Linked DNA regions of Schizosaccharomyces pombe. Changing the gene in region 4 together with the main gene of any one other region gives a genetic interaction. Each region holds a gene or a part of one and is shown on either strand. Other genes may lie near its edges.

Region 1 (7,311 bases), on a different chromosome or scaffold from region 4:
CTCATTTACAATTAACTGATGAGGAGCAAATTTCTGCCGGTGTCACTAAGGATCTTATTCGTGTGGCCGTCGGTATTGAGCACATCGATGATATTATCGCCGACTTTGCTCAAGCTTTGGAAGTTGCCTAAAAAGCCCTCATTGTATATCTTTTTATTTACCTGTAAAATACATAGTAATGTTTCACAAATATCGATTGAGTTTTTGTATGTTTTCCCACATCTGCTCAAAATATTTCTCTCTTTTATCCATTATAATACTTTTAATGTGTTCTCTTCAACAGAAAGCTAGATATATTTATCATACCCGACTTTACATTTCACACTTCAGTTTACGCTATGAAATAAATCATTTTTCGGTTTGATCTCTTGGTAATTTAGATTCAGATTCACAAGTAATAAACAATGACTATTTATAACACTTGTGCACTACTAATGGCTAACAGGTCTATAAAACAAGGAAAGCGTAACATATTATATAACAAAATTTACGTTATCTTGATCTCTGCCTAGCAAAAGATTACTGAATGCTTTTAGCTCCTTATTTCGGTAAGCACATTATTACTATTAGCAGAAATTCACTGGTGCTTTCATTAATAAAAAATACACAAAATCATATAAAATTAATTTTACAAAAAATAAAAAACCACCAAATTGCTAAAGACATACATTGTAAACATATGAGTTATTGCAATAAGTTGGTTTCCAAATATTCCCAAAACTCTTAACGAGAGTTGGAGCGGTCAGGGTAATAGTTTTCAACTAGCAATAACGCCATCTAGGAAAAGTTCCTCACTGATAAGCGTAATACCCGTGCACAAAGATGGGGAATGGTAAACTCTTGTACATCCATTTATAGTAAAATTGAGCAGTCACAACAGGTCACAAAACCCTACCCTATTACTTTAACATAACGTTACGGAATATACGGGCTTAAATTCCCTTAGTGCACTATGAAATGATATTTTGAGTATGAGAGTTTTAAAGCGCAAAGGGGAAGATTTGCAAAACTGATATATGTATAGGTATGTATATTCATTCAATAACTATGAATTCTTGGATAATAAAGAAATCAATGCTAAAGTAATGTTGAAGCGTCAATCGTAAATACCAAGCCTTGCTTTCCAAAAAGGCTTAAATGCATAGCAATTCCATTAACAAAAGATGAATGGGTGTCGGTTCGAAATGTAAAGAATAAAAATGATAAAAAAGGAGGGAGGATGAGGTATTCTCTTTAAAAATATAGTACTTAAAAGGAGACAATTCACCTATAGTCACTCGCATGCCCAATTTTGCTTTATTATAAGGTGAGGCAATTACAAAGAAAACAATATCTTACAAAATTAAGAGGTAGGAGTAGAAGTCGATTTGAAAGTTTGAAAATCCGCTGACTCAGGATGCAACATTGCTACGTAAATTAGTAAAGAGCATAAAAAATTGAAAGCCTCTTCAGCAGCTATTTTTCTTACCTATATCTGGAACTGCTGTCTCTTCAGCTGATAACGCAAAATTTGCAGGCGATACTCTGATACAACGATCACAGAGAATAGAATAGTTCATATTTTCCATAGCTTCTTTAGCGTCTTCTGGTTCATCAAATTCTACAAACGCGTAGGAACGGTCCACAGCTAGAAAGTTAGCTAAACTTTTAAAATGTTTGAGCATTTTCATGGCATCAAAACTAGTTGTTTACCAACATGACACCAATACATGACTACTTTACCTTTTTCTTTACGATGTAATGCAACTGAGATAATCTCTCCAAACGGAATGAAAGCATTGTATAAAAGAGATTCTGTTACAGATGGAGCCAAGTTACCTAAAAAGAAAGTTAGCAAACAGATCTTTGAAAACAACAATCTTTTAAAACGAAGTATCGCCGTCATATAATATTCAACAAGTTAAATCATAACCTCAAACATTTATCGTAGATAAATGGCCATATGAGGAAGCGGTATCATGAAACTCATAGATATATCATAACAACGATGAATTCATTGATCCTTACCCACATGGACGGTTGCTTTCCTTCTTTCCATCCTCAGATCATCAAAACTAAAAAAAAAAAATAAGATGAAAAGCAAAAAGACTAAAATAATAGGGAATTAAAAAGTTCAGATTATTTCGCACATTTACTATCTCACATCCACCACCATTCAGTAAGTAGTTTCTCAAATAACGATGCAGTCTTTTTCGGTATTTAACAGAAACCTGAAATAAAGATTCCAGAGACATATGATACATGAAATGTTATAAATAAAATGAATTGTATGAAGATAGACACTTTAGAGAATGCGAGAATATTTTGCACAAGTAGCCTATGCAAAGGCGATATGCCACACTTTTCAAAAGTAGTTAAAAGAATGCAGTGTCATAAGAAAAAAGTGGAGGAGTAGAAAGAGTAATTTTAGCAACTATTCTTTATGGTAATCACTCAAGTGAATGATTGAAATGAAAAGAAGAAATTTTCCATAAAAAATTGTGCTAAGGTCTGGATAAAATGGTAATGGTAGGGATAAAATAAAACATTAAATTGGTAAGTTTGGGAACCGAGTTTACCTCCCATTTCCTGTTCCTGAATAACTACAAAACTGTTCTTAAACCATGCTATCTACCAAGTCTTGCATTGGTGCATATTCCTTGTTATCCATAAGGCTGAAATTTGTTGTTAACATCTTTAAGTAAGTAAATTGAAACACATACCCAAATTCCCTACAGAAAAATACAAAGTGTTTAAATGATGTATTCAGATAGCTTTCAAGCTCCATTGCTACCATTACGTGAAAGTGGGAACAGTAAATATGAGCATAAATGCGAAACAACCTTCGAAATATTTGCTGAATCACTTTGCGAAAATTCTTTGGGAATTCAACACCAATCTCAGTGGGGAAGAGCTTCTTGTCATCCAACTTTTCTTGAGTCCAATCCAACAGATTGTTAATATAGTCGGGAGCACTCATGCGAGTGGGTTTGGTGTATATTTTATCATCCTGCCAGTAATATTCATAACTTGGTCCAGCATTCATTTGAGGACAGGAAGCCGCCGTACAAAATTCAGTGATTGTACCATACAACATATTAATTTGTGTATAAAAATCCATTGCTAGAAGTATTCAATTAATAAAAGTTCTTGAAGTGTCAATTTTATATCTTAGCTTACTGTTCATAGCAATCCATTCATTCAAATCTTCTCCCTTGGGCAGTTTTACTGCTTCCATCAAAGAGCCAGATCCCAGCGTTGCTTCAGCATATTGCCGTAGTTGATAATGCTTCGTTCCCGCTTCAGTCTTCCTTACACGGAATGTCTTCGCTGTCTTATTACTAAATCCAAACATGAAAGAAAATGCAAAAAAGTTGGTATGAGTTGGGTTCTGGTAGGCTTGGTTTGTGCCAACCTTCCACTCATCGTCCCTTCCTCGTAAACAAACGTGGTCATTCTACCGTTCAACTTTCAAGACCATCCAGCCAACCAATATTAAGCGCAAATTAATTACTGGAATACCTATCATATTCATACGACCGTATGTTTAGGTCCGAGCACTTTTACAAATTGACAACGTACGATCGCTACTTCTTTACCCACTGCCTATAACCACTGACATTCCCTGAATTACACTTTGGTGCTAAACGTGCGGCTAAGAAATTAAAAAGAAAGCAGAGAGCTTTTAATTTTCTTTTTGGGATTTTTTTTGCTCAAATTGGTGTCTATTTAGTGTTCGTGTACGACTTTTACTGTGCGGTGAGAAACGCGAAAGGGCATCACTAAAACCGACTTTGCTAACTTTCTCTGGATTCTATTTAACAGTCTTTTATTTCTTGAGATTTGATTTAGGTTCCTTTAATTCATTTAGGTTTGACAACATGACATGCAGAATTGCGATTCGCAAGTATTCATTCATATTATGTTTGGCTGTTGGTTCAGTTACCATTTATACCTCGGAAGTTATTGGAACTCCTCTGTATTTTGTCAACAAGGAGCTTTATAACAAATATATTGCTTTTACAAAATCATTCGCCGGTATTCTGTTTACCGCTTTGGTCCAGCTTTTTAGTCCGACTCCTGTAACTCTCACCTATGATCCCGAGCTTCGAAATTTGTTTTATTTGGATAGAAATGGTTGCTTGGAAACAATTGCTGCTGAACGCAACATAGTTATCGCAAACCATCAACTTTACTCGGACTGGATGTACGTTTGGTGGTTATCGTACACTGCTAAACAGCATGGTCATGTTTATATTATGTTAAAAAACTCTCTCAAATGGTTGCCAGTTATAGGTTGGGGTATGCAATTGTTTAGATTCATTTTCCTTTCTCGCAAATGGGACAAAGACTACGAGACTATGTCTCGTCATTTCAAGTTCATTCGCAATGTACGTGATTCCGTCAGTCTCATTCTCTTCCCAGAAGGAACCAACTTGGTTGAAAGCACATATCAAAGGAGCAGGGTGTATGCCGATAAAATTGGAGTCAAAATGCCAAAGCATTTAATGCTCCCACGTGTGCGAGGGCTCTTTTATAGTATCAGTCAGCTTCGTGATTCGATGACTTATTTGTACGATTACACATTTTATTTTTCTGATCCCTCTCCTAAGAAATATGCCGCCGATGCTTTCTCTTTACCTAAGCTCTTTTTTGAAGGAGTCCCCATCAAAAGGCTTCATATTCACGTTCGTCGCTTCCCAATTTCGGAAATTCCCACTGAAGAAGATCAGTTTACGGATTGGCTTTATCAAAGATGGTATGAGAAAGATAAACTTATCGATACGCTTCTTGAAACAGGGAATTTTCCGGGCCCTAAGAAATTGCATACGACTGTTCGATTGAAGCACAGACTTGAAATTCTTTCTTTGTTTTCCGTACTTTTCACGTGCATTGTTGCTGGGTTGTTCCTCAAACTATTCATTTCTCACTAGAAAAAACTGTTATTTATACCCATTTCTTTCCATTTCCCTAAACCATATGGTTGAAAAGTTACCCATTTACACTACATAGATTAACTGATTTTCATGAACATTTTTTAACAGATTGCAAACTGGATTTTCAGTGTTAAGGAATTACCGCATACATTGCGGACGATAGTTTTATAGTCATTAGCTTTCTCTTGAGCTTTGAGATTTCGAGATAAATTATTCTGTACACTTTTTCTCCTTACAACCATCCTCTTTGCCTGTAGACGGCCTACAATCTACTGTTTCAAACTATGTCGAAGATAACATAATAACAATAAAATAAATTATGCTAAAAAAAAAATATTATAAATGTGCAAGCAAACAATCCTTTAAATCTTTAGTCCTAAAAGCAGGTATTACGAAACACTCGACCCTTACCACTACTCTAATTCTCAGATTGCAGAGTACGAGTAGGTCCTGGATTTCAGTACCAATTTTTCTCACATACTTCTTCTAAGGTTTCCAAATAATGGGTAGAGACATTTTAATTGGATTTGTTGGCAAGCCCTCCAGTGGTAAATCTACGATGCTGAATGCGTTGACAGATGCCACTGCTAAAACTGGTAATTTCCCTTTTACCACTATTGAGCCAAACCGGGCTATTGGCTATGCTCAAATAGAATGCGCGTGCTCAAGATTTGGACTACAGGACAAATGTAAACCAATTTATGGTGGTTGCAAAAATGGTGTACGTTCAATTCCTATTCAGCTGCTTGATGTAGCTGGTCTTATTCCAGGTGCGCATGCTGGAAAGGGGCTTGGCAATAAATTTTTAGACGATTTACGGCATGCCGATGCTTTGGTCCATGTGGTAGATGTCTCAGGTACTACTGATGCGGAAGGAAAAGTGTGTCGTGGATATGATCCTTCTGTAGATATCGCTTGGTTGTATAAGGAAATAACTGCATGGATCGGAAACAATCTGAGAGAGAAATGGCCTAATATAGTTCGTAGGCATATTGCTACGAAAGCCAATCCTGTCAATACACTACAATCCCAGTTTTCTGGATATGGAAGTACCCCTGCTGTTACAGCTAAAGTCTTAGATTCGCTACATTTAGATACACCTTTGGAGAAATGGGATGATGATACAATTGAAAAAGTGGTTAACAGATTCGTTGATATCAAGTTTCCTACCGTTATTGCTCTTAACAAAATTGATCATCCTGATGCGGATGCAAATATATCTAAAATAGCTAGAAAAGAAGATCCAAATCGACTCGTACTGGCTTCAGCCATATCCGAAGTTTTTCTTCGAAGATTGGCAAAACAGGGGTTTGTTAAGTACGAGGAGGGCTCTGAATTTGTTGATACGCTAGACGATTTTCCTGACTCTGGCTTGAAACCTTTGAGCGAAAATCTTAAAACCCGTATCGCAGACCTCCAAGACATGGTATTATTTCGACACGGTTCAACTGGAGTTTGTAATGTTTTAGCAAAGGCAATGGAACTTTTAAATTTGATTCCAGTTTTTCCCGTTAAAAACGTTCACAATTTTGCAAACTCTCCTAATGAAGGTGTTTTCAGAGATTGCATCTTAGTGAAGCAAGGAACGACTGCTGGACAGGTATCTCAAATGGTATTGGGTGGAGAAGCAATGTCTATTGTGGGTGTAAATGGAAACGTCGGCGAATCTGATGTTATTGTCCCAGGTAAAACGGATATCCTTCACTTTCGATTGCGGAAAGCTGAAGCTTAAGTGATTCATGAAGAAAAGTGGTAAAAGGTCGATTTTGGGAAATATTCAAAATAGTTTTGTATAGATGTTAATAAACAATACTATGTCTAAAAATTAATTTGGTTAGTTTAAAACTTCCGAAGAGCTAACTCAACAAATTACGTCTACAATGTCTGGCTGTACTTTCTCCACTATGTATTACATTGACTAAATTTTAAAACCATAGTTTAGGTACTTGTATATTTGAAATAAAGAGTCGAAATCTTGTAAACCCATGTGTAAAAAAACACGTTTGTGTGCAAAGTATCACCTCATGTAATGTAAGCCCATATCTTGCATTAGCAAAGATAAAATCGTTAATTCAGTTAAAATAAATTAATCCATAATATGATAAATTCAAGCAGAAGCTTAGGCGATAACACAACCCTTTCCATCACCAGGAGGGGAAGGATTTGCTTGTTTTTCAATTTCGCTGATAATTAGCTCGAATGCTCGAGCAACATTTTCGTTATGGCGAGCTGAAGCTTCTGTCCATGCACATTTCCATTCATTGGCCAATGCTTTTCCCTCTTCAGCGGTAACAGCACGCTGCATATGCAAGTCGCTCTTATTGCCAACAACCACAATGGGGACCCACTCAGTACCCTTAATAGCAAGTAGGTTAGTAAAAAATTTAAAAATTCT
Region 2 (8,945 bases), on a different chromosome or scaffold from region 4:
CAATGCCTTGTTCCATCATAAAGCCAACAGCATACTGAGCTTTAGCCAAACCTTTGCAAGCCGCTTTATGCGCCCAAAGTAAAGCTTCTTCTCCATTCTTAGGCAAAATACCCTCTGAACCCGTTAAATACCAACCGGAAAGTCCTAGTTCTGCCTCGCCATAGTCTTGTTCGGCAGCACGCGTGTACCAAAAAATACTGCGTCGAGGTTCTGCTAAACACCCTAATAAACCGTGTTCATAGCACTCCCCAAGTTTACACTGGGCGGCAGCGTAGCCATAGACAGCTGATTGTTTGTAAAGTTCAAACTTTCTTTCAGGGGTTGCAGATACTCCGTAACGATCCGGTTGCTCATAAATCTTTGCAAGTTCATACATAGCTCTAACTGATTCGGGCCCCTTAGACTTACATGCACGTTCGAGCCATTGCACACCGAGAGATATATTGCGTTTTTGCCCTAACAAACCATTTAAGTAAATCAGAGCGATACGAAACATAGCTTCGACTACATCCATTTCAGCTGCCTTTTTATAGATGGCAACGCACTTACTAGTGTCCGGCTTAACCCCGGTACCAGTTTGAAGACAAACAGCAACTCTGTAATTACTCAAAGGATGTCCTTTTTTAGCTGCAAGGCTGTACAACTCAAATGCTTTTCCCAAATCGCGTCTAAATCCTAATACCCCCTGACTGTGAAATTGTCCTATTAAAAACAGAGCTTCGGGTACAGTATTCTGGGTTTTGCTAGGATAAGCATTCTTTTTTAAAAGTTCAACAGCTCTGGTTCGATAAACATTGATTCGAGTATTATAACTAGCCTGGTCGGGAGCTAAGCTCGGCTTGTTTTCTAAAGTTTCTAATGCATTCAAATAAACTTTTGCCAACTCAACTTCGTCATCAGGTGTGATTTGAGATTTTTGGCGAAGACGCTGTTCTTCTTGCATAGCGTCTCCGTGCGTCACAATTTTTGGTGACGGAATCATCAACTTATCATCAGGATGACAAGGAATCGCATCCTTCGTCTTTTCTTTTGCTTCTGCACCCACTTCAAAAATAGCGGGTGAAGAAGCATTACTGTTAGACATCATAGATATATTCCTTTCAAACTTGGAATTAGCAACCTTGGATGATACATTAGCAACCGATGTATTTTTGTGATTACCAATAGACTTATTACTTTGCTGTGGAATAGGGGAAAACGAAGGTGTCACAGCTAAGTTATGTGAAATCGGTGTGCTATCAGCACGCATTATCGGGGAAGAAACAGAAGGGAGAGGACGAATGTCAGAAACTAACCCATGGGTTGTGTGTACCGGAGGAATTGGCGATAAAGGACTTGTTTGACCGTGTATAGAAGTAGGCATTGGTTTAATTGCCTTAGGACGTGCAAGGTTTGTAGGATATGAAGGTAAATTATTAACAGTTGGGTTTGTGCGATTATTATCATAACCTTCGGGAGAGTTATTATTCGAGTTCCTCGAAACATTTCTACGATCAAATGTAGGAGCAGGAACCTCAACTGGAGAACGAGCTGGTAGCATTACCATTTGAGAATGTGGATAACGAGGTGGTTGTTGAAGTGTAAGCAAATCATCATTTCGAGGATTTTTCAAAGTTTCGGATGATTTTAAGTCATTAGAAACTGAAGGAAGCGAACGTTCATCGCTTTCTAACCCGAATGAATCTGTATTCGAGTCGGTTGATGAAAAGTGACTTTTTGAAGGGAGGTGTCCAGAGTTTTCATAAACTGGTCCCAAATGACGATGAGCAGGTTCTGCATCTGACGAAGCATTAGAAACTGTATTTGTGATGGAGTCACTTTCTGCTCCATCTTCTTCCTCCAAAGTTTCTATTCGAGAGTTACTCTTAAGCTGATTGTCTTCAAGTACAGTATCGTCATCCTTGTAATAGTTATCTAAGAAGTCATCAAACCCACCGTATGGTATGTAACTCATACGACGCTGTACACGACTTATAGAATTAACACGTGGAGGTGCCATATATTTTCTATGAGGATCCGGTTGTCCAATCTCATCCTTTCCATCATCTAAATTGGTCATTGGCGTTGGTCGCGGAATAGAAACCAAAAAATCTTCTTTCTGCTCATGATTTATTTGTATTGGGGCATCTTGCCGATCCAACTTTAAACTAGGTGAAGGCAAAATAGGAGAAGCCTGTCTCAAATTAGTGTTCAGCTTTAACCCACGGTTAACTACACGTTTGCTTGTAGGAGCAGGTGCAGCTGGAATTTTATACTGTGGCTGTGGCTCCGGCTTGACCGGTATGGTTGCACGCGGCAATTTGTCTTTGAAGGTATCTTCACTAACAACAGGCCGGGATATTTTTTTCTTGGAGAATTTCAATGCTGAAGGTGGAGTACCCATTGTAGCGCTCATTATACTAGCCCTGTTCGCGTCAATCCTTGAAGACAGGTCCAAAACATTCGTATACACTGGTTCATGGCTCAATGTCGGATATCTCGATGTAGGACGAAATTGAAGAGTAGGGGAGGATGAAGAAGCTGTGTTACCGCTTTTTAAAAAAGCTGGGGTACCCTCTGTTCTTTTTCCATTATTCGTTGCGAATACCAACTTTTCCTTCTCATACTTCCTCCGAGAGCTATGTGAATCTTTCATTAACAGATTAATTTACGAGTGAAATAAAGAGCAAAAGGTAGACGCTTTAGGAGGAAAGCAGTAAGAAACGAGGATAATGAGGTATCGCAGTTTGATGAATGTTACAGCTCTTCTGCTGTTGCCAACAAAACGAATATCTTACAGCTCACTAAACAACAAATAATACACGAAAACAAAAATTTTCCAAAATAGTAAAAATGGTTCAAGATATTAAATTGCAGATAGTGTCTATTTCCCTATCAAGTAAATGATTTACATAATTTATCTGGTAATTGCAAGTTCTTCTATATAAATGGCGAAAGCTGAATATTGACGAATAAAATAGTGGAAGATAAATAAAAATATAATATAATATAATGAAAAAGGATACTTCCAAATAAACATCATAAAATTAAAGTGATAACTTTCGCAAATTGTAATGTAAATGCCGTTCGAAAGTGAAATGCAATAGTAAAAGACAGTACTGTAAATGTCAAAACATCAAAAGCGAAGCTCAGTATCTTCGAAAATAGTTAATAACAGTAGATGTCTTATAAAAATACCATGAACAAGGGTCATTAAATTTCCCTTTGATTATAATAGAGTCCCGAAAGAAGGAGCAGAGAGGGGACTAGATAATGCGCTACTAGAGCTAGTAGGATGACTATTTTTTTGATGCCTAAAAGTGAAGCCGATAAAAGCATTGCGTTTAGGCTTATTAAATGTGTTAACCATATTAGCAATTGCAGCTTGTTTCTCATGAACTTCCTTATATTTAGACATATCATTTTCATTAGTGAAATCATCAAAATATCCTGCGTCAATCTCAGAATTAAGGTCGGGTACAAACGGAGGACGATATGCTGTACGAACATTTTTCCAATCAATCTTTGAGAAGTAAGGATGTTGCATGACTTGCTTAAGAGAACAAAAGCGATCCTTGGGATCAGTAATGCAGTGACATACAAAATCCCATGCATCATCTCTCCAGTTGAATTCCAAATCGCGGGGATCATCATAGTGAGGGCGTTGAAAACACTTGCGCCAATTCTTCAAGTTAGACCAGGTTTCATTAACATTGGAGCCAGAAAATGGAGGAAAACCAGAAAGACATTCATACATGATGCAGCCAAGAGACCAATAGTCTACAGAGTGGTTGTAGTTTTCACCTCGTAAAACCTCTGGGGCCATATAATCAGGAGAGCCAACTACTGAATGAGCGTATACAGGATCCTGAGATAAAAGAGTTCGAAACACTTGTCGCCTTTCCCTCATGCTCCTTTCGGGAACAACGACATTGTTGACTTCTTGAAGACGAATCTTCATACTTTCAATCTTCTTTTTGCTGATTATTCCAGAACTTAAACCAAAGTCCGTCAATTTAATATGGCCGCTAGCTCCAACCAAAAAGTTTTCTGGCTTAAGGTCACGATGGATGTAACCAAGTTGATGCAAAGCATCAATAGCTAGGAACATTTCTGTAGCATAAAACTTGGCATGATGATCCCTTAAAACACCACTGTTGCTAAGCAAAGTACGGAAATCACCACCAGGAACAAATTCCATAGCGAGATAAATGTTTGAAGTATCCTGAAAAGCATAAAGTAGACGAACTAACCATTCCGAGTTGGCTGTCGTAAGGATATCACGCTCAGTAAGAACATGCCTGATCTCATCCATTTTATGCAAAACCGATTTATTCATGATTTTCAAAGCAACAATCTCTTTGGTGTCACGCTTCCTAGCCAACCAAACAGAGCCATATCCACCTTGTCCGACTTGAGTGATGGTCTGGAAATCTCCGTGACTAATGCGTGTCCTCCTTTTCCTTAGATATACTCGTTCACGTCCATTGTATCGCTTCACTAGCTCGTCTCTTCGTGAATCAGGCTCTTTAAGCAACTGCTCTTCAAAAAGACGGGCTCTTTGCTTGCGGGTATAAAGATAATGAAGCTGCTCAAAGTAATGGTCTAAAAAGAACATTTGACAAATGGTTGCCATTCTCTTTACCTTAGGTTGGACCACTTTCTCCATTTCTTCAACTGACAAGTTCATAGATCCATTTTCCCATCTTGGTGAACCCGTTGAACTTCTATCTGACCAATGATTATTATCCTTGTAGCTCAACTCGCCAGATCTATCAAGACCACGCGGAATAGGGCTTGCAATCGGTAACTTACTAATGTGTTTTGAATGCATATGATTGTCAGGATAATTTTCCTTCGAAGATGCCACTGGGGAAAGCTTCATACTATTAAATTGATCCTCCAAATTCCTTTCTTTATCATTATTCGACAAGTTGCCGGGTTCAAAAAGACCATGTCGCTTCATATATGCATCAAATTTCTTATCTGCTTCAGAACTTAGCTGAAGTCCTAAATCACCTTCAACTGGTGACATATCATTAACACGATTCATTATTAGTTTTCTTTAAATATGTATCGTAAACATCCAACGTTTTGGTCCCCAAAAAATGCAAAACTCCTGTCAATAATAACCTTACGTGTTTTGTTTACGGCAGAGTACATTTCCATCGGAGTTAGGTATCAGCCATTTACCCTTAGCAACCAAAGTTTGATTACAGCAGTCGCTGGAAATTTCAAAACTTAAAAAACCAACCACCAAATTTACTACTTAGAACAAGATTGTTAAAAAGTCTGTTTTTATTATTTATCATACAAATGTAAACTAGATATAGTAAATTTATCTCGTTATTTTTAAAATGTACTGTGAATGCAAAATACATTTTAAATTTGATGCAATCTTTTGATTTCAGAAGAAAAATGTAAACGTTCATGTATTTTATTTAGTATGCAGAGATGTTTCTATAACATCATAATCATTATTCGATAATTCATCATTCTTTAGTATGAAAAGTTATGTTCTTAAGCATAGCGTAGAAATAGAATGGGTACACAGATTATCTTGATTAGATAATTCAGCTTATTAACTTGCCATTTTTTAAGGCCGTAACGGCTGTTCAGAAGAAGAAATGGAACCACGATGAGGCATGTATTCGCCTCTGTTAAGTATTTCATCAGAGAACACAGGAGAGCCCTCCAAGAAACTTGGAGTATATGACGGGGTAAAGCTTCTTGGCATACTTGATGTGAGTGTAAGCGAATTTGTGTCCAAACGTAAAGGTTCTTTCTTGGGTGTCGCCAAACTTGACGAAGATGCGTTGAAAGGGACCTGTAAAGTAGAAGATGCCCAATCTGGAGATTGTTCGGCATTCTCAATCTCCTCTTCTTCATCCAATTCATGAAGGCGTTTAGTGCGGTAACTTTCGCGAATGATATCCACATCATATGGCCAAAATAACTTTTGCGTTGTCATAAACAAAAACTTCGGGAAAAGACAACTTACAATCGTTCCACATAAAACAGCCCAAAAATTTGGAGTTCTGAATATACGCGAAGCAGATTTATAAAATTCATATGTATAAAGGCTTTGAGAGTAGACGCCAGTCCAAAACCAAAATGTCAAACAACTGAGCGCCCATAAACCAATTGAAAACACATCCCAATTTGATTGATTCAGAATAACATACGTGTCGACAACCATAATAGTTGGCGCAGCAACGTAAACACCTAAATCTTGTACAGCCATAGTATCACGACCATTCTGAGCAGCTGTGGTCACATTGTTAATCACAAGAAAAGAGAAAAAGAAACAGATTACAGACTGATAAAACCCATCAAGCATATATCCAATAAAGATTTTCCTGGCTGAATTTAATTGCAAAATACCACGCTTGTAAAGCTGAGGGATCCGAAGCGACAAATCAGCATTAACATCTTGATCATAGACACCCATGACAATGACAGGTAACGATGAAAAAATCAAGTTAAACAGCATAACATAAGTATAATCGAAAAGGTAATTTGCGTCGAAATTGTTGTAAATCTGATACCAGAATAAAGTAAATGTCCATACAACACTCTTGTAGAAAAAGTTGTTTACCATTTCAGCAACACGATTATAATCCCAACGGCCATGAACAAGAACCAGCTTGCTCAAAAATCGGAATTGACCGATTGCATAATCCGCAGACATAGCTGCAGCACGGCCTTCTTCACCAACAATACCAACACCAATATCAGCTTTTTGAATCATTGCAACATCATTCGCACCATCTCCAATGGCTAACGTCATTACTTCAAGGCTTTCGCGTACCAATTGAACAACATCTGCTTTTTGAGCCGGACTAACACGGCAACACAAGACAGCCTTGCATCTTTTACAAAGTAGCAGAAACTTGGTTCTCATTGGACCATCTAAAACTCGTTTAAGTACTGATCCATCAATAACTAACGCATGAGAGCCAGAGGGAGTGTCATGATCCTTCTTAGCAGCTTCAAGTTCTTCAACTGATCCAGACAAACCAAAATAACGATATAAGTAGTCAGCTAAAATAACTTCCAACTCTGGTGTTGACACTTCTTGGTCCACATCAAACTTAATCATGTCCATGCCAGCGTCCAATAAATTGCAAGAAAAACCAATATTAATAGCAGTCTCCATTTTGTCTCCGGTCAGAACCCACAATTTGATACCGGCTTGAGCCAATAATGCAATTGAATCAGGTACTCCTTCTTGTAATCGATCCTCAATAGCTGTTCCACCGAGCAAAGTAAGATGAGATTCAATCAAATCGGCAACTTCCTCTATTTGCTCCTCACGGTTTTCAATTGCAGATGCGGCGATGTCATACTTTTCTTTCCATTCGTAATATTCCTCTTCAGTAAGCTCTCTTTTTGCGATACAAAGTGTTCGTAAACCTTCCAATGCAAAAATTCTGAGATGCTCAGAAGTGGTTTTACGTAATTCAACTTGTTCATTTGGTTCCAAACGTTCGAAAATAATGCTATCAGCACCTTTGCAAATAAGCACATAACGGTTATCGGGTCCTTTAACGATCACACTCATTCTCTTCCTCGCTGAGCTGAATTCAATAGTATCCATCAATTTGAATCTTTGGGTTTCTCCAAGAGCACGAGTAACCATAATGTCTCTCCGCTGGTCCAAAAAAACAAAGCCAACGTCGCGGGCGGTACCCACGAGTGCAGCTTCATCTGGCGATTGTGCTTTATAGACAATCCGGTCACCAACTCTGTCTGCAACTACGCTATGACAAAGGGCCAATGCCAAGAAAAACTCATAGCATGCAAGTGACTGTTCTTCACCAGCTTTGCCAGCAAGGTCATGAACAAACTGCGACGAGATGAACGTGAGGTTATCATCCACAAGGTATTTGTTGTCGTGCATATTTCGCATTTGAGAAATCATTTGCATTCGGTCACGTTCAATGAAACTTTGCTTTTGAAGAGTCAATTCTTCAGTATCCTTTCCCTCGCGTTTTGCCATTCCCGCCATTGCTTCGGTAAATGCCTCACCATACGCAACTCCGTTGATCGTACATTTTTTAAATTCCATAACATTTTGAGTAAGAGTACCTGTTTTATCAGAAAAGATATATTCCACTTGTCCAAGATCGTCAGAAATATTCCAAGATTTTGGAGTACAAGCATACTTTAGCTTCTTATAATACATGTCTTTGTCGAAATATATAAAAATTGCCTGGATGGTCTTAACGATTTCAATTGAAATATAAAGCGAAATGGGCACCAAGTTTTGAAAAAGAATAACACCAGTGAAAAACGTGACGACACCATCTTTGGCAGGAGAACCACCAATGGAACCAAACTCAAAGTAATACGAGGAGCGAGAATGACCACGCCAGGCGATTCCTTCGACAACTGCGCAAACAAAACACATGGAGAAAAGGATAATGAAATTAAGATAAACATTCCAATTAAGATTTCTAGTAATGCGACTACGCTTTAATGGCGGAGCACCAGAGTTCAGCATAATCTTGGTATCATCGCCAGTAAATACGACAACTCCAATCACCCATTTTGTATTCCTAAGGACACAACCACGCAATAGCATTGAGTCCAGACTGATGGGCTCTGAAACAGTTTGGGAGGTATCAGAGCCACCTGCTTCAGAATGGACAAAGGACTTACATGCTCCATTATACTCATAAAGGTTAGCGTGTGGTGGTTCACTCTCTATCCAAAAACGACATCTCTCGCATGAGGCCTCGTCAACTACATTCTTTCCGCACGTTAGAGCGTGACGCATTTTTAAGTTGGTTTCACCATCAAGATTCTTGGTTTCAATGTAACAAATACCTTCAGGGTCGGATGAATTAATGATGACTATATCTGCGGGAATTTCATCATTATCCATAACTTTTACAAAATCACCTACACGGACATCCTTCCAGTATGTTTTTTTGAAATGGCACTCGCCAGTAGCTTCGGCT
Region 3 (8,411 bases), on a different chromosome or scaffold from region 4:
GGACAATTTATTGACTTAATAAATAACGTGATATAAGGTGCTCGTTATTTTCACTTGTGAAAACATCACATGTTAGTATTGTAAAACAGATAATCAGTGGCGATGCTCAAAGAATTTTTTGCATTATATTCAATGATAAATTTTTGATATTCATTCTATAAACTATATGCTCTATGATAAGCGAAGTATTATGGTGCGAGTAGAGGATTGTTCACTCAAATTAAAGTGCGTTGAAGAAAAAAAAAATACCTGTAATTTATTGTAAACACTACCTAAACTGATCGGTCATCTCTGAAAACACCAAACTTCGTTATGAAGATATATCACCCATTTTAAGTGATATTGCTATAGTCACCAAACATAACTAGCACATTGTATTAAATATTTTAGTTTGGTAGTTATATTACACAATCGAGGTACTTGTTAGAAAATTTGAAGTAACAATATTTTGTTAAACATTAAAACAAACGAATCGATTGCGGCAGTCAATAATTAATTATACGACCATCTTAAAAACGAAGTATTAATGAAAAAAAACTGTTGAACCAAACTGAAGGACCTCAATTTGAGAATCCAACACATTCATCCTGAGGTAGACGAAATAAACTTGCAATATAATGAAACCCCAGTTATGTAAGGTATCGTAAACAAATGAAAAATGATCAAATTTTTCTCACTAAGTGTGTATAGCAGTTTTGCTTAACATTTCGACAATAGCTCCAATATTAATAAATCCGAATTATCTTCTTGCATTAAATATAGCGAAAGTTTTCGGTTTGAAACATGCGAAGTTTGGAAAAAGCTTTTTAATGGCTATAATCACTTAATTATGTTTTGTTTTTTGGGTAATTTCATAGTTTGAAATAAATATGACTGTGTAATATACCATTCAGCCAGTTGCGATACATCAATATGGCAATTGAATCCTTTATTATCATACAAATTTCCAAAAAAATAATCAATTAACATACTCATGCAAAATCGTTTGATGTCATATAAAAGCTTTAGCATTGGTAGAAATGTGATTCCAAACCATATCCCTTAAACAATACTTCTCAAAAACAAAGATTAAATTAGGTCAGGAATAAAGAGAGAAGACATAAAAAGAATTCGTGATGCTAGACAATTCAGTATGTAAACATTTAAGTGGAATTTATGTTCAGTCAAAACTCTGAAAAGCAGAGTATATTATAAACACAAAATAGTTTTTTAGAATTATTCAAAATGATTCATGTTAAGGAAAACCTTTGAGATACTTGCTTGGAAAACTGTTTCAATTTGGTAGCGTCCGCTGTAACACACACTCCTTCTTCACCTCGAAAAGTTTAAAACTTCCTACCCACTTTATTTGCTTGTTTGCTAAGAACGAGTTGTTCTATTATATAAAATGCAAACAGAGAATGTGTGTTACAAAATGTCTCTTTTACAATTTATTAACCACGACTATTTATAGCAAGTGAACGATTTGTATCCGATTGCTGTTTTGATTGATGAGTTAAAGGTTGGTAACAAATTGTTTTACGTCTGATATGTTCAACTCTGACTATTGTTAAAGCATGATGAAATTACTTATAGGCTCAATGCTTTGGAACGGTTATCGACAATTGCTCTCGCTTTAGGTCCTGAACGTACAAGGGATGAGTTGATTCCCTTTTTAGATGGTATGCATTCAATAATAAAATTATGGAACTATAGGTTTAAATTTTTAAAATTCTTTATATTTTTTAATAAACGATGTATGTTTGTCGGCTAACATTCCTTGAATACAGAATCGATTGACGATGAGGACGAAGTCCTATCAGCTCTCGCCGACCAGTTAGGAAATTTTGTAGATTATGTTGGAGGCCCTGAGTATGCGCATGTCCTTTTGTCTCCCCTTGAAAATCTTGCTGCAACTGAAGAAACGGTAGTCCGCGATAAAGCCGTTGACTCTCTCAATAAAGTATGTATTTGCCTATCCCAAGAACAATTAGAGCAATATTTTGTTCCATTGGTTCAACGTCTTTCAACCGCTGAGTGGTTTACCTCTCGTGCGTCCTCTGCTGGGCTTTACTGCGCGGCATATTCTCAGTCAGAAAATCCTGCTGTCAAAGTCTCTCTTCGTCAAAGTTTTAGTCATCTATGTCACGACGAAGCTCCCATGGTCCGTCGTCCTGCAGCAACGAACTGTGCCAAGTTTGTTTTTTTGGTAACTAAACAGGAGGCTATTGACGAATTCATTCCATTGTTCAACTCCCTTTCTAATGATGACCAAGACTCAGTTCGGCTCCTTTCTTTCGACATTATGGTTTCTTTGGCGGAGGTATTAAAATCTGACTCGGAAATTCGTCACTATTTGCTTCAACCATTAAGGTCTTTTGTTTCGGATAGCAGCTGGAGAACACGTTATATGGTTGCTGCTAATTTTGTAAAACTTGCTAAAGTAGTTGGACCATCTCTTATTAAAGATGAACTTATTAAACCATTCGTACTGCTCATGAAGGATACCGAGCAGGAAGTCCGCCGTGCTATTGCTACTCAAATACCAGGATTTTGCGAATTGTTGGATAAGCGAATTGTTCTTGAAGAGATTATTCCAGTTATTCAAGAGTTAATTAATGATCCCGCTCAACATGTCCGTGCTGCTTTAGGGATGAACATAGGTGCTCTCGCCCCACAATTAGGAAAGGAAAAGTATGTCTGCTAAAAATAACTTTTCTTTTAAAAACCTCATTTTACTAATCGTTATATTTAGGACTACAGAGTATCTTTTACCAATGTTTTTGGAATTACTTAAAGATGAAAACCCTGAAGTTCGTCTTAACATTATTTCGAAATTGGAAGTTGTAAACAAAGGTAAATTGCAAATTCAAAATATAGCTATTGCTACAGTTATACTAACTCACTTTAGTCGTTGGTATCGAATTACTTTCACAATCTTTATTGCCTGCAATTGTTACACTTGCTGAAGATAAACAATGGCGTGTTCGTCTTGCTATCATTGACTACATTCCACTACTTGCTCAGCAGCTTGGGGTCGAATTTTTTAATGAGAAAATGGGCAATTTATGTATGTCATGGTTAGAGGACCATGTATATTCTATTCGTGAAGCTGCGATAAAGAATTTGCGAAAACTTACGGAAATTTTTGGGTTGGAATGGGCAACTGAGACAATTATTCCAAAGTTTTTGGCTATGCGAAGCCATCCAAATTATTTATACCGAATGACAACTATTTTTGCGATCAGTGTAAGTTTTTCTTTTTTGCTTTTTTCCAGTTCTAACGTATTTTAGGAAATCGCACCTGCATTGAATGCTGAAGTAATTGAAAAACAAATTCTTCCAACTTTGGAACAGTTGGTTAATGACCCTATTCCTAATATTCGCTTTAACGTTGCCAAGGCGTTTGAAGTTCTTAAGCCTGTTTTGGCAGCTGGTGGTGACTCGACCGTATATGAACAGCAAATCATCCCATTGCTCGAACAACTTACAAAAGATAATGACCCTGATGTTCAATATTTTGCTACTCAGGCCTTAGAGCAAACAAATGACTAATTGTTGGGTTATATGATTGCATGTCTAAATGAGCCAAAAGTTTTACCTTTATGATTTGTGTTCACTATGTAAAAATGCAAAAGAATGGACTGTCTTGACTCTGGCCATTCGTTCGACATCAAGTGTCAAGCCCTACATCTAATTCAAAGCATCGTATTGACACACAGTAAATTAGATATACAAGATATACACGATATGGCAAAATTGGAGCCGAATGCATCAAGAAAGCTGGCATCAACCGTAATTACTTACGAAAAGTGTAATTTTGAATGAAAACTTATATTTACATCTGGAGAGATTCAAACAATTTAAGCAGCTGAGATATAAGGTCATTTGCATGAGATAACAAATGGTTGTTAATCATATTCATAAATATACGAATATAGAAGGATATCTCTATTTCCGTATGCTAAACGATATGTGTAGAAATTCCTGCGAGTATCGAAAAGTCCAGTTATCTGTATTCAGGAACATATTGCTTCATAGTCCCAAGTGTATCAGATGGAAAAGCTGAACGAAAGTAAACTATTGAAGACATAAAATTGAAATAAAGGTGTAAATAATAAAGGAGAAACATATGCCGGGTAAATTATGCAAACTATGTAGATTTAATTAATTGGCAAGAATCATTTGAACGAAATCTAAAGGAAGCAGTTAGTATAATTAAGTATAGGTAGTTGATTGCCGAAGCCCAGAGTAGTAATAGAGCATACCGTGATAATTAACCATGCCATCTTTTACGGGAACACCCTTTAATAACTCGTCCATTTCTTCGTTGCTGAGTTTTTCACCCAAAGAAGTTAAAACTGATACAATTAGTTTCGCATTTTTTTATCAATCTGAAAAAAGGATAGATCTCTATAAATACATACCATAGCGCAATTCACCCACTCCAATCATGCCAGTGGCATCTTTATCAAACACCTGGAAGCCCTTCACGAATTCCTCTGGGTCACCAGGCATATCAAACCCATTGGGACGATTTAACACTTGAAGGAATTGTTCCATATCGACTACCAATTAGTATTGTCACTTAATGCACGGCTAAGGAGTATAACTCTCCAAACCCATAACAAGAAATCATACCTTCTGCGGGCAAAGTAGATTCAATTTCAGTAATCTCAGCCAGCGTAGGATTTTGTCCACACGCTCTTAAAAGATCACCAATGGACGTTTTGGGGATGCGACCAGTTCCATGGCGGTCAAATAAAGAAAAAGCTATCTTTTCGTTAATAAACATTTTGAAATGATTTCAAAAAGTAGTTATTACCTTGTTTATAAGGTGAATCGTCTGTCGACATGTTTGACTATTCTAAATGGATTGTTAGGATGAAGGTAAGTGTACTAAGTCGACTGTAATCTGTGTACACGCACCTATAAGCCCCATAGCAACCGTTGCCATGATAATGTTTACTGTATAGCGATCTGTTTAGTAATTTACTAAAGAACGTAGAGCTATGTAAACCAGCTTATATGAACAGAATTGTCATTTACTTTGCCAGATTTTAATTTAGAACATCATTCGTATACAGAATATGAATAGTCATACTAATGTCGAGCTACTTGATAAATTATGAAATGGCTGGCGATTTCACTATTTCTAGTGCAATACAAAATACGAGAGTCACCGGAACACGAGAAATACAGTACTGATGCACTTCATAAATTCAATAATCACATCAGAATATCAGATATCATTAACTTGTTAACCTCAAAAGACTAATCTACCGGAAAGCCAACGCTGTCCACCAGACTTCTAATTTTCGGCGTTTGTGTACCAAAAAGGCAGTCACAGATGGTATATCTAAATTTTCGGGCTCACAAAATATGCATTGAGTAAAAGTAAAATAAACGAATCAATATGTTTTTATATGTTGCTTTAATGCGTGGTTTATATAATTGAGCGAATCTTGGAAATAAGTATTTTGATAAGCAATGTATATATTCTCATATCCCAGTGGTACATGACAGTAAACATTGTAGGAAACGTAATTATTAAATATTATATATCAATCCCTTTTAACATTAATTTATGAATTAATAAGAAACCGAAAAAAGGCTTTATTTTATGTTTTTACGCTCAACCTTCAATTTACTTTCAAGTAATTAAATAGCAAGTGAAATCTAGAAATTGATACAAAACAAAGGACTTATAAATTTGAACAAATTTTTAAGCGATGATGTCCAGAAATTGCCTACTACTTGTTTCGCAGTTCCGATGACTTAGAGCCATTATCACTGGATCATCTTATTACTGGACTACATATATTTTTCGTTGGCGCTGCTTCGAACTCAGACAGAACCAACCTTCGTCGTAGTAAAGGACCTTTAATAGTGTTTACTTACTTGGCATTCAACAACTTAGGAAGCACTCTTTGACCTAAATTTATTAATTCTATTTAATAAGCCATGTCTCCGGTAAGTAACCCCAATTGGGCATCCAAAGAATTTTGCTAGTAAAAATTTTCATCAGTCGGAGAAACAGTACTGAAAGTTATCTTATTGAGTTATATAGTAGATTTTACTATGCGGATAACAAATTTGTTTTTGCTGATGAATTTTTAGGCAATTGAAATTTTAAATTTTTTTGTTTCTTTTTTTTGAAATTTTTATTGCTTTATGTTGATTGCTATGTCCAGCATGTTTGGTCTTTTTTTTTAATGTCAATTTGCTAACATTATTCAATTAGGTTTTTTTACCCAGCGGTGAAACTTACGATCAAGAGCATCTTGATGACAACCGTGTCTTAGGTTACAACCCTTTGGTTCCTGCCGCTTTGGTTCAACAAGAGATTCCTGTTTCTGAAACTTCTCGCAAAGTCATCACTGACTCCAGAAAGGAGATTCAAGCTATTCTCAACAAACAAGATGACAGAATTATCGTTGTTGTCGGTCCTTGCTCCATTCATGACCCTAAATTGGCCATGGACTATGCTAAGTTGCTGAAGCCCAAAGCTGACGAGCTTCAGGATGCTTTGTGCGTTGTCATGCGTTGTTATTTGGAGAAGCCCCGTACTACTATCGGATGGAAGGGTTTGGTCAACGACCCTAACTTGGATGGTTCTTTTGCTATCAACAAGGGTATTAGGATGGCTCGTCAAATGTATTGCGACGTTACCAATTTTGGCATTCCTTTGGCCAGTGAGATGTTGGACAACATTTCTCCCCAATTCTTCGCCGACTTACTCAGTTTTGGTGCTATCGGTGCTCGTACTACCGAGTCTCAATTACATCGTGAATTGGCTTCTGCCCTTTCCTTCCCTGTTGGTTTCAAGAATGGTACTGATGGTACTGTTGGTGTGGCGATTGATGCCATTGGTGCTACCGCCCATCCTCACACAATGCTAGGAGTTACTAAACAAGGTCTCGCCGCTATTACCATGACCAGGGGCAACAAGGATACCTTCATCATTTTGCGTGGTGGTAAGAAGGGTCCTAACTATGATGCTGAGCACGTTGCCGCCGTTCGCAAAGATCTTGAGAAGGCCAACCTTCCTCCTCGTATCATGATCGATTGCTCTCATGGCAACTCAAGCAAGAATCATTTGAACCAACCAAAGGTCTCCAAGAGCATCGCCGAACAAATCAGAAATGGCGACTCTTCCATTGTTGGTGTTATGATTGAATCTCATATCAATGAAGGTCGTCAAGATGCTCCAATCCGTCCTGGCGTTAAGGATACTCTCAAGTACGGTGTCAGTATCACTGATGCTTGTGTTAGCTGGGAACAAACTGCTCCAATGCTAGACGATCTTGCTGAAGCTGTCCGTGCTCGCCGTCAAAACCAAAAAAGTAATTAAGACATATAAATGTTATATTCAGCAGTTTTAATTTTTTTAATTTTTGAAACTTATTTTTTCGTAACATACAACAACTGAACAATTTTGGCTTAAATACGGGTTCTATTTATTTTTTTTTGTTTTTTTTTTCTTATATCGTACACAGCTTCTACCAATAACACCTTCGTTTTTAAGAATTGCTGTGCAAGTTTTGCGAAATGTTTGATCGTTTCATATGTTTCTAATCGATCTCCTTTAGCTTGTAATCAGCCATAGGCACATTGGACACAAAATTTAAAACGTCTATGAGTACAGTTGTACAAAGATCAAGTTTATTAGTAAACAATAAAAGAATGCAACATCTATTTAAATAACCTAAATCACAACAAACTATAGCCAGAGATTAATCATAATAAACGAAGTAAAACCGTACAAAAGCAAACCAGAATCCAAAACAAATACATTCCATAAGTTGCTATTTAATTTTTGCGTTCAGCAGTTACACTGACCCATCGATTCGTGGAATCACTATTGGGCTCCTTTTTCATTTCTTCTGCTGCATTTAAGGCCAAATACTTTCTTTGTGCTAGTACCAAATCGCGTAAAAGCTGAGGACTTGGTTTTTTGGCATGCATAAAATTACAAAGGCCACCCCGCTGACATTCCGAAGTTTCGTGTTGCCGGCAACATGCCTCGCGAAAATCAGTTACAGGAGATAACTCGGCGTAGACTGGTCTTTGGGAATACCATCGGGAATTTAAATCATCAATAGCATTTTGGGCAGACTCTTCATACTTGAATCTTACATAAACATTTCCGACTAAGTGATCTCCAACATTGTCACAGACGACTAATTGTTCAACTTCACCGTATTTTGAAAACTCACAAAACATGTCCTCGTAGAATGCATCAAATTGTTCTGCAAGTTCACGCTGCGTGAACTTTTTGCCATTTGGTTCATGAATTGGGTTTTTATACATGTTGGGACATAAGATCGTTTGACTAAAATTTGGTTTGACATGTTTACGAGAGCAGCGTTCCCCATGTCTACAAGCTCCTATTTTATAATAGAATGAGCAATTGACTTTATCTTGCTCAG
Region 4 (8,021 bases):
TAAAAAGTAAATAAATTCAATTTAGTAAACGATTTACGAACTTCTTCTAAGTTACGACATATTGCATGGAAGAACGTGAGAATGTTTGTTGGTCCGCTCTGCCTTGGGGCTGTCAGCTGCTTTACTCTTTCTCTGCAATCGGACGTATGACCTGGAAAATACGCTTGTGAACAGATTTTGATAAATGTTGAAATAAAATTTGGAAATATTCAAGATAAAAAAAATAAATCTATAAACAATTATTCGATTTCGAAAGCTCGACCTCAGTTTCTATTGCTTTATAATAAATCTATGTGAAACTGTTCAGATATATAATCTTATAAAGAAGGGGATATAGATCATGTCTGAACATTTGTAATGGAGCTGCTAATCCCTGAAACCTCGCTACAATAATATTTGATGAAACCATACCAGTAACATGCAGGGTGAAAATTGAAACAAGAAAAGATTTAGTGCTTGGAAGGTTCTTTGTTTAAGTAAAAGCTACTGTATGTCTTTTTCTTCCTTGAGCTTGCTACTTTGAAACACTAGTTGTTTACATTAGCAATCTGATCAATTTGAGACCAAAAGCACACAAAATAAGGTATTTATTATTAATATTCATTCTCTATAATCAATTTCAGCAATTTAAAAATCTTTCTTCATTGGTTTTGAAGAAAAACATAAAGTGAAACTTCTTGCTGTTACTTTAAAATTTCATTACACCTGCAAATTCTTTGCTACTCTCTCCTTCTTACTTGGTATTTGAGAATTTGTGGTTTAGGACTCAATTAAATTATAATAGAAAAAGCAAAAGGATCGGGTGCTTATTATAACTTACTTTGGGTTTTGTATAACTGGATTTAGGCTTCAATTGTCATACTTTAGTCACCGATGCTCCGTTTTGTAGTTGGAACATATACTCACCTCATTTACGGTGTTGATGCAGACATTGAGAGGAAAAAATGCAAGCCCTTGTGGCTTTTTGAAGCTCATGAAGGAGCTTTAACCGCGTTAGCTGTCGACGGTATTTACTTGGCTTCTACTAGCAGTGATGAAACAATTAAGTAAGTTATTTGCAACTGGAATTATGAAACTGGACTTAAATGGTTTCATTCTTCCTTCCTTGTATTTAATTATCCTTTTAAGCATAATCTAACATCGTTTCAGAATTTTCGATCACACTCGTAACGTCCAAATAGCCGATGTTTCTGTTCCTACAGATATCGCCAATGCATGTATCCGAGATATGTGTTTTACTAAAAATCACCTTTTAGCATGTCATGATAACGGGCAAATCAGTATGTGGTCTAAAGGTTCATGGTTGTTGGTTCATACTCTTAAGTCATCTTCTCATAAGGGCATCACTGGTATAGCAGTTCACCCTTCAGAAAAATTGGCCCTAACAGTTGGAGGTGATGGAAAGTTGCGGCTCTGGGACCTTGTACGAGGTAAAGGAGGTAAAGTTTTACCTTTAAGCACTATCCCAGAATCTATTCTTTTCCTGAATGAGTCGTCATTTGTTATTATGTCACGAAGAGGCATTGATGCCTTTAAATTGGTAAGAATTTATGCATTTTTCTATATGCAATTTTCCTCCTTCTTTTATAAATTACTAATACATTTTTAGGATCTCACTTCCCTTTTCAGCTTCTCTTCTAAATCTCAATTGAACGCTTTGTGTCTCTATCAATCCAAATTGATAGTTGGACGAGATAATGGAACAGTACTGGTTTTGGATACTTCTGATGGGAAGATTTTACATGAATTTACGGCGCATAAGAAACGGTAAGTGTCTTTTTATATTCTATACTCAACAAATTAAAAATTCAAAATTTTCTAATCAAGTTAGCGTCAAATCTGTCTACCCTGTTGATGATTATTTAATTACTGCAAGCTCGGATGGTTCAGTATGTATATGGGATAAAGATTGGAACTTAGTAATTGAGCATAACATTCCAGAAGGCAATCGAATTACCTGTATGGTAGCTATGTTGGCCGATAGCAATTCAGAACCCAAAAATGTCGAAGATGAAGCTGCGAAACGTCAAAGTTTGGATTCGGAAACTTCTGAAACTTCTTCAGAGTCAGAATCGGAGTCAGAATATTACAGCACTTCAAAACAGCCGCCTGTGAAAAGGACGAAGCATGCCTAAAGTTCCTCGCAATTTTAAAAAAAGTAAATCAATTTCAACTTAATAGGGAAAGGACGGGATTACTATTATACAGTTTTTGTTGGAAATATTTTATTCACCTAGACTATACTAATATTTATAAAAGGATTAAGTGTTTGCTTATCAATGTATCCTAAAAATTCTTGTATGTAAGCTTAAGTTGGGTGTTACAATAAAAATACATCTAACCAAGTTGTTACAGTACTTGTTTAGCAATTTAAGATGGGTTCATTTAGAAGCAAAAGTCGATATTATTATGTAAATTGATATGTGTAGCAGAAGTATATGGAAATGATGAGCAAATGATAAATCCTAATGACAACTAAACAATGCAAGTACCCATCTTATATAAGAGTGAAATAAAACAGATCGCATAAATCGACAAATTGTAATTAAGCTTAACAGATGGTTAAAGTTGCATGCAGTCAAAGTGGAATAGATCGCAACTTTTGATTAACAAAGAATCAATATGCAAAACTCAAAAAAAAAAAAAGAGAAACAATATGCTTAAAAAATTTGGACCTAAAGTCCTTGCAAGGTATTGATGAATAATGATAAAATGAAGACGAGAAAATGCTAGATGAGCTATTTGCCATACATTAGATTATTACCCCAACTGGGACTGGCGTGGACTTCGTTATGTCCACCAGTATGATTAAGCAAAGAGTCTGTATTGTAATTATTCATGGAACCAGAGTGAAGGTTACGAACGTTTCCATTATGGTTGTTATGCGATGAACTTGATGAGCGCACTCCCAATGGGTTCTTCGAAAAACTCAAACGAATACCACCTTTAATGCTACTGCTAAGACAAACACCTTGTAAATTCTTCAAGGCTTCCATGGCGTATGGAATGTTTTCAAATTCAACAAAACACATGGGGCCATTGCCTTTAGTGCGGAAACAAAGTCTTTTGTATCCAACTTGAGTGGAAAACAAAACTTTCAACTCTTCCTCGGAAGTAGAAGGAGGAAGATTTCCAACATAAATGGTGTTACAAGGAGGATTTTGATCAGCAGGGTTGGTATTCGTGGGGGTAGAAGCAGGGATGCGTTGATGAATTCCATGACTGGAGGAATAAGCCGAAAATGGTGTGGAAGGTGAAATGGTAGAAGCTGAAAATGGGTAGTCTCTTGATGTTGATGGTGTCAAGGGAGGAGGGCTTGTTGTACTGAATGCACTGTTTGCCGAAAAGACACGAGGATGGGGTGATTGAGCACTAGAATTTTGGGTATGAGCGCTATAACCCTTTTCAGATGAAAGGTAATTGCGCGCCACGTTGGTGTTAATAGATAATGAGTTAAATCGCAAAATCGGAGGAACACCGTCTTGACGCAAATTGGTACTACTTTTGGAAGGAGTGGGTGACCACGTAGGTGAACCAACTTCATCCTTGGCTAACACATTCGCGAGTGTTAAAGGATAAGAAACAGGGAAAGAAGACCACAACCTATCGGAATGCAAACTACCTCCATTGTTAGGAGCCTGAAAAGTGCTATCACCCAAAGGTGTTTTTGAATGACGATAAGCAGATTCCGAATGATTTGCAGTAGGCATACTGGCTGACACATGATTACTTGACCTGCGGAAAAGATCACGATTTCCTAACAGTGGACGAGTTGGAGAATGGTTTCGAGACAGTCTGTTAAATGAAACACTACTCTCAGAGCCCTCAGTTTCGTCGCTAAGATTTGTTTGACTTCCCTTTCGATAATTGTCTAAAATTATCATGCTGCACGCGGAATAAACATCGCTAGATAGCAAAGTGTCTCTAGCAGATGCAGCAGCATCTCGGGATGAAAACACCGCCAATCCATGAGCAACTTCATTATCCACGGATACAGGATTAAGCTCGACGGATACTACATTCGTAGCGAATAAAAAGGTACATAAAAACTCTCTGGGTGTTAAGTCCCTAGGTAAATCCTCAATCCGCAAAGCATAATATCTAGGAAAACCGAATCCAACCTTAGGAGGAGCAGAGGCTAATCCACCGTTGAGGTTAGAGAGGAGTCTACCAATCGGAGTTGTGGATTTTTCCACAGATGCATAAGTAGGTAAACCGTCAGATTCAGCTTTCCCAGCTTGGCTGTGAATAGCCTGAGGAGACATGTGAAGAGCATGACATTCATCATCTCCATTCAGAATACCGGTTGGAACCAACGATGAACCACGTAGCGCATCTTCAGTAAACTCGGTTTCGTCCCCGACTTTGGTCTTACTGGATAACGATAAAGGCTTTTCAATAGCGCTCGGTGATCCCACAAACATTTTGCAAATTATATATAATGGTAATTGAAAAGAAGAGAAAAAAGAATGACAAAGTGGTTGATAAAGTAACCAAAATAAGCAATAGATGCCTAAAAGTAAAACACAAATGAAATAGCAGTAGTTGTTAAATAAACCCCAAACGATAATAAATGAGGCTTCAAGCTTAATAACACGAAATAGTTAATAAGTGGAGTAAAAAGTTAGAAACCTAGTTGGTCGACTAAAAAGAAAGTGTGTAAGTAATAAAAATAAGCAAGGGCAATGAAGAAAAATAAAAAATTCAGTAAAAATTGTTAGCAAGTATTAGAAAAATCCAAATACTTGACGCGAAAGAATTAGAAGGGCAACAACCTAGAATACTGGACGAAGATAATAAAAGAAAGACTGTAACTTCAAGAAAACGAGAGCAAAGGGTAAACTGTTGACCACCACAAATAATTCTAGTTGCTAAAAGAGAGACAGATACAACTGTGAAGCAAAAAACACAAACTGAAAATGAAAAAAAGATGACTGAAATATGCAAAAATACCGAGCTAACAAAAAGTCTAGGGCAAGGCTTATGAGGAAGAAATCGTCAAAAGTATCGATAAAAAGACTTCGAAGGTATTCGAAATGCTTAAAAAAATCAGTTAGCGATTTTTTTTTTTTCAAAAAAAAAGAAATGGTTGCAGATGGAAAAATAAAATAAACAATCAACTTTTCAATCAGCAGAGTATAAACAAATATACAAACAAGTAAACAAAAGACACTTGTTTTTTTTTGGAGAGGTAAATCAAAGGAAAGCAATCGGGCAAAAAGTGAGAAGCAAATAAAATATACCGCTATCAACAAAGAGTAAATATCCAACAACAAGAACAATCAAGATAGAAGTAAAATTGCTGGGAAGATTGGCAAAACGTAAGCAAAAGAAGTATGAACACGGTTTATAAAGGAGCGAAGAATGAAAGGAAAAGCAAAATAAAAGAAGCTTTTCTAAGTAACGTTAAATAAGAGAGATCAAGTTAAAAGAAAAAAGGCAAAAAGATTCCAAGAAATTTCAAATAAAAAGAAAAAAACTAAGAAGTAAAGTGAATATGAAATCTTTGTGAAAAAATGATTGAAACTTGATCAAAATAATAATAAGGCATAAAATAGGGTCAGAAGAAAAAACAAAGAGGGAAGAAAGAGAAAAAAAAAAGAAAAAGAATAAAACAAAAAAGGTAACCCACACAAAAACGAAGAGACTAAATATTATATAAATGTCACAAAACTTTGTATGAACAAAAAGATGGGCAAAAAAAAAGACCAAACGTTTAATAAGCAAATACCCTTAAGTAATGAGTAAAAGGCGGAAGAAATGAATCAACGAAATCAAACGAGTGAATAAAATTTCGAAAAAAAAAAAAATAAGGAGCCGGGTATCTGAATGAAAACGAATCGTGACTATTTTATGGATTGAGAATAGGGAAATCCTAAAAACACAAAATTGTTTAGTGGGGATAGAAATGGATAGATATGAAAATGAAATGAATAATGAAAGGAGGTCGAATAAAAACCCAGTTGAAAAACTATTTATGGCCAAAATTCAACAAAGCAACAAATGGCTAAAGTTCAATGAAAGGGTACAGAAAAATAAAAAAGAAAAGTAAGACTTTCAACACACACGTTGTGCTTCCGAAACGGATATAATTTTCCTTGTCGTGCAGGCTGAGTCAACGAGCCCCTAAGATGAAAAAATGAGAATTTCCGTAAAAACAATGAAAAGAAAATATTTAATAGGGAGAAACCGAGGAACGCAATAAATAGCAAAACAACCAAGACTGAGAATGCAAAAAAGAAAAAAGAAAAACAAGCGTTATTAGATGAATGAAAGGACAATCGAAAACTAATCCAAATAATAATGGAGATGATAACAGTAAATATCAAATTTCTGCTATTCTGCTATGTTTCCGGCTTAAATCTTTTTTTTTGCACTACAAAAAGCGTTTTCTTGCCTACTGCGACTGTTTTCCTGGTGGTTGGGAGGTATAGGTGGTCGGTAAGTTCGGCGTGCAGTGTGGAAACGCTGTACGTTAGAGGAACACCAGCATCATCATGCATGACAAAATGTTGAACCGATGGGTTAGCGGTTAAGATGCAACATTCACTATATCTCAATCCCTTAACATTTGCCGGATAGAGCTGCATAGAAAAAAATTTGTCAAAACCCGGGTAGTAAGAAAAAGTATGGTTTAGAAGGTATTTTAAATAAATCAACGAAAATTTAGCAGAGAACAGTAAATAAAGAAGCAAAGATTGATAAGAAAGCGGTTGCTAACGAAAAGAATTAGTTTTGTAGGTTGACCTTTGAAACGACTGAAAAAAAATTAATTTTCGATAAAAGTTGAAAAAAAAGGACCTTCTAAAAACGGCAAATTTTCGGCTTCATTGTCCATTCAAAGGGGTAGAAAGGAGATACAAGGTATTTCTTTGTGGTATCTAGTATGTACAGCTTGGTTTAGTAAAAGAAAATAGATAAACAACAGGGTATTGTGGGTAAGACTATTCATGGAAGCTAGGGCTCTTTCCAAAAAATTATAGTAATATTCTATATTGTTCATGAAAAACAGTTGAAGTGCTTCTACCCTTAGTTTAATATTTTTTTAATATCCTAACTTTTGCTTGAGCACATGCCATCTGTAGTACCTTTCCTCTCTTTCATTAAAAACTTGCTTAGTTAATTTCATCTTTCAAACTATGCATAGTCTCTTAAGACCTTCAAGGTTCTCTGCCAACCAATCTGTGCTTTGCTTGCTCCAACGACATCGGGTTTTCTTTTCTTCGATTTCGGTGAAACCCCGGAAACGAATGGTCTACTGTGTTGTCAGCTATCGTGGTACTGGCTTTGCTGGTTTGCAGTACAATGCCAATGTCAAAACCATACAAGATACACTGTTCCAAGCATTCGCTCGAGTAGGCGCCGTTGTTCAGGTGAATGCTGACTCTCCCAAGAAGATCCGAATGTGTTCTGCTGCTAGAACAGACAAGGGTGTACATGCCATTGTTAATGTTCTTGGTTTGAAAGTGTTGGACAATCAACCTCTACCTCATGTGGTGAATTTGGTCAACGATATTTTACCACCTTGTATTCGTGTATGGAAAATGGCGAGGACGTTTAATTCGTTTTCTCCACACACTGTGTGCGACAGTCGCGTATATGAGTATTGGTTGCCTGTCTCCTCTCTACTTACTCCCCGTCCTTGCACTCTCGAGGCCTATGTAATTGCCAAGGCATCTGAAAAAGCATTCCCCATTAATGAAACACTTTCCCATTTAGCTAACTTAAGCAAACAAGACTGTGTTGCGAATTCCTTGTCCGAGCCCTTTCGTTTATCCAAACCTAAACTCGACTTTCTAAAGCATGCGTGTACGATGTTTCGGGGCACCCATCGATTTCACAGTTATACAACGGAGAAGGGTTTTTCGGACGCCAGTTCTCGAAGGTTTTTATTAGATGTGCGTGTGGATAACCTTCACATTGACAAGTTAAATCGCCAATGGGTTAAGCTAATCTTTCACGGCCAGTCGTTTATGAAGCATCAAATTCGCAAAATGGTTGGCATCCTTATTCATCTTACA

What was found.
Region 1: of scw1 (region 4) and mob1, a mutation in one rescues a mutant of the other (synthetic rescue), as found in Schizosaccharomyces pombe (2 studies listed by BioGRID).
Region 2: of scw1 (region 4) and sid2, a mutation in one rescues a mutant of the other (synthetic rescue), as found in Schizosaccharomyces pombe (2 studies listed by BioGRID).
Region 3: mutations in scw1 (region 4) and cdc4 impair growth when combined (synthetic growth defect), as found in Schizosaccharomyces pombe (one study listed by BioGRID).

Annotation. Positions count from the first base shown.
Region 1 is NC_003423.3:466,792-474,102, forward strand, and holds mob1 (Sid2-Mob1 kinase complex regulatory subunit Mob1), read right to left. Parts: upstream 3,373-7,311; 5' UTR 3,335-3,372; coding exon 3,160-3,334; intron 3,103-3,159; coding exon 2,703-3,102; intron 2,655-2,702; coding exon 2,597-2,654; downstream 1-2,596. Other genes in the region: homocysteine synthase Met17, read left to right, coding at 1-131; SPOM_SPBC428.12C (peptidyl-prolyl cis-trans isomerase E), read right to left, coding at 1,343-1,407, 1,469-1,627, 1,723-1,818, 2,008-2,038; mlg1 (1-acylglycerol-3-phosphate acyltransferase), read left to right, coding at 3,861-4,913; SPOM_SPBC428.15 (Obg-like ATPase), read left to right, coding at 5,419-6,648; Rheb GTPase Rhb1, read right to left, coding at 7,036-7,272. UniProt on the Schizosaccharomyces pombe protein: Has a role in promoting the onset of septum formation during the latter stages of mitosis.
Region 2 is NC_003424.3:218,821-227,765, forward strand, and holds sid2 (serine/threonine protein kinase (NDR family) Sid2), read right to left. Parts: upstream 5,134-8,945; 5' UTR 5,033-5,133; coding exon 3,209-5,032; 3' UTR 2,874-3,208; downstream 1-2,873. Other genes in the region: cfh1 (chitin synthase regulatory factor-like Chr3), read right to left, coding at 1-2,635; dnf2 (phospholipid-transporting ATPase), read right to left, coding at 5,576-8,945. UniProt on the Schizosaccharomyces pombe protein: Part of a signaling pathway. Required for initiation of medial ring constriction and septation.
Region 3 is NC_003424.3:5,325,642-5,334,052, reverse strand, and holds cdc4 (myosin II light chain cdc4), read right to left. Parts: upstream 4,866-8,411; 5' UTR 4,836-4,865; coding exon 4,805-4,835; intron 4,753-4,804; coding exon 4,621-4,752; intron 4,548-4,620; coding exon 4,407-4,547; intron 4,341-4,406; coding exon 4,248-4,340; intron 4,176-4,247; coding exon 4,147-4,175; 3' UTR 3,535-4,146; coding exon of another isoform or gene 3,274-3,534; 3' UTR 3,229-3,273; downstream 1-3,228. Other genes in the region: serine/threonine protein phosphatase PP2A scaffold subunit Paa1, read left to right, coding at 1,388-1,402, 1,454-1,501, 1,556-1,661, 1,770-2,673, 2,735-2,835, 2,891-3,228, 3,274-3,534; SPOM_SPAP8A3.07C (phospho-2-dehydro-3-deoxyheptonate aldolase), read left to right, coding at 5,944-5,952, 6,224-7,333; U2 auxiliary factor small subunit Uaf2, read right to left, coding at 7,792-8,411. UniProt on the Schizosaccharomyces pombe protein: Involved in cytokinesis. Required for the formation and function of the contractile ring.
Region 4 is NC_003421.2:669,879-677,899, reverse strand, and holds scw1 (RNA-binding protein Scw1), read right to left. Parts: upstream 4,425-8,021; coding exon 2,739-4,424; 3' UTR 2,649-2,738; downstream 1-2,648. Other genes in the region: p21-activated protein kinase inhibitor Skb15, read left to right, coding at 874-1,046, 1,150-1,540, 1,610-1,767, 1,832-2,135; SPOM_SPCC16C4.21 (uncharacterized protein), read right to left, coding at 6,345-6,590; pus3 (tRNA pseudouridine synthase), read left to right, coding at 7,140-8,021.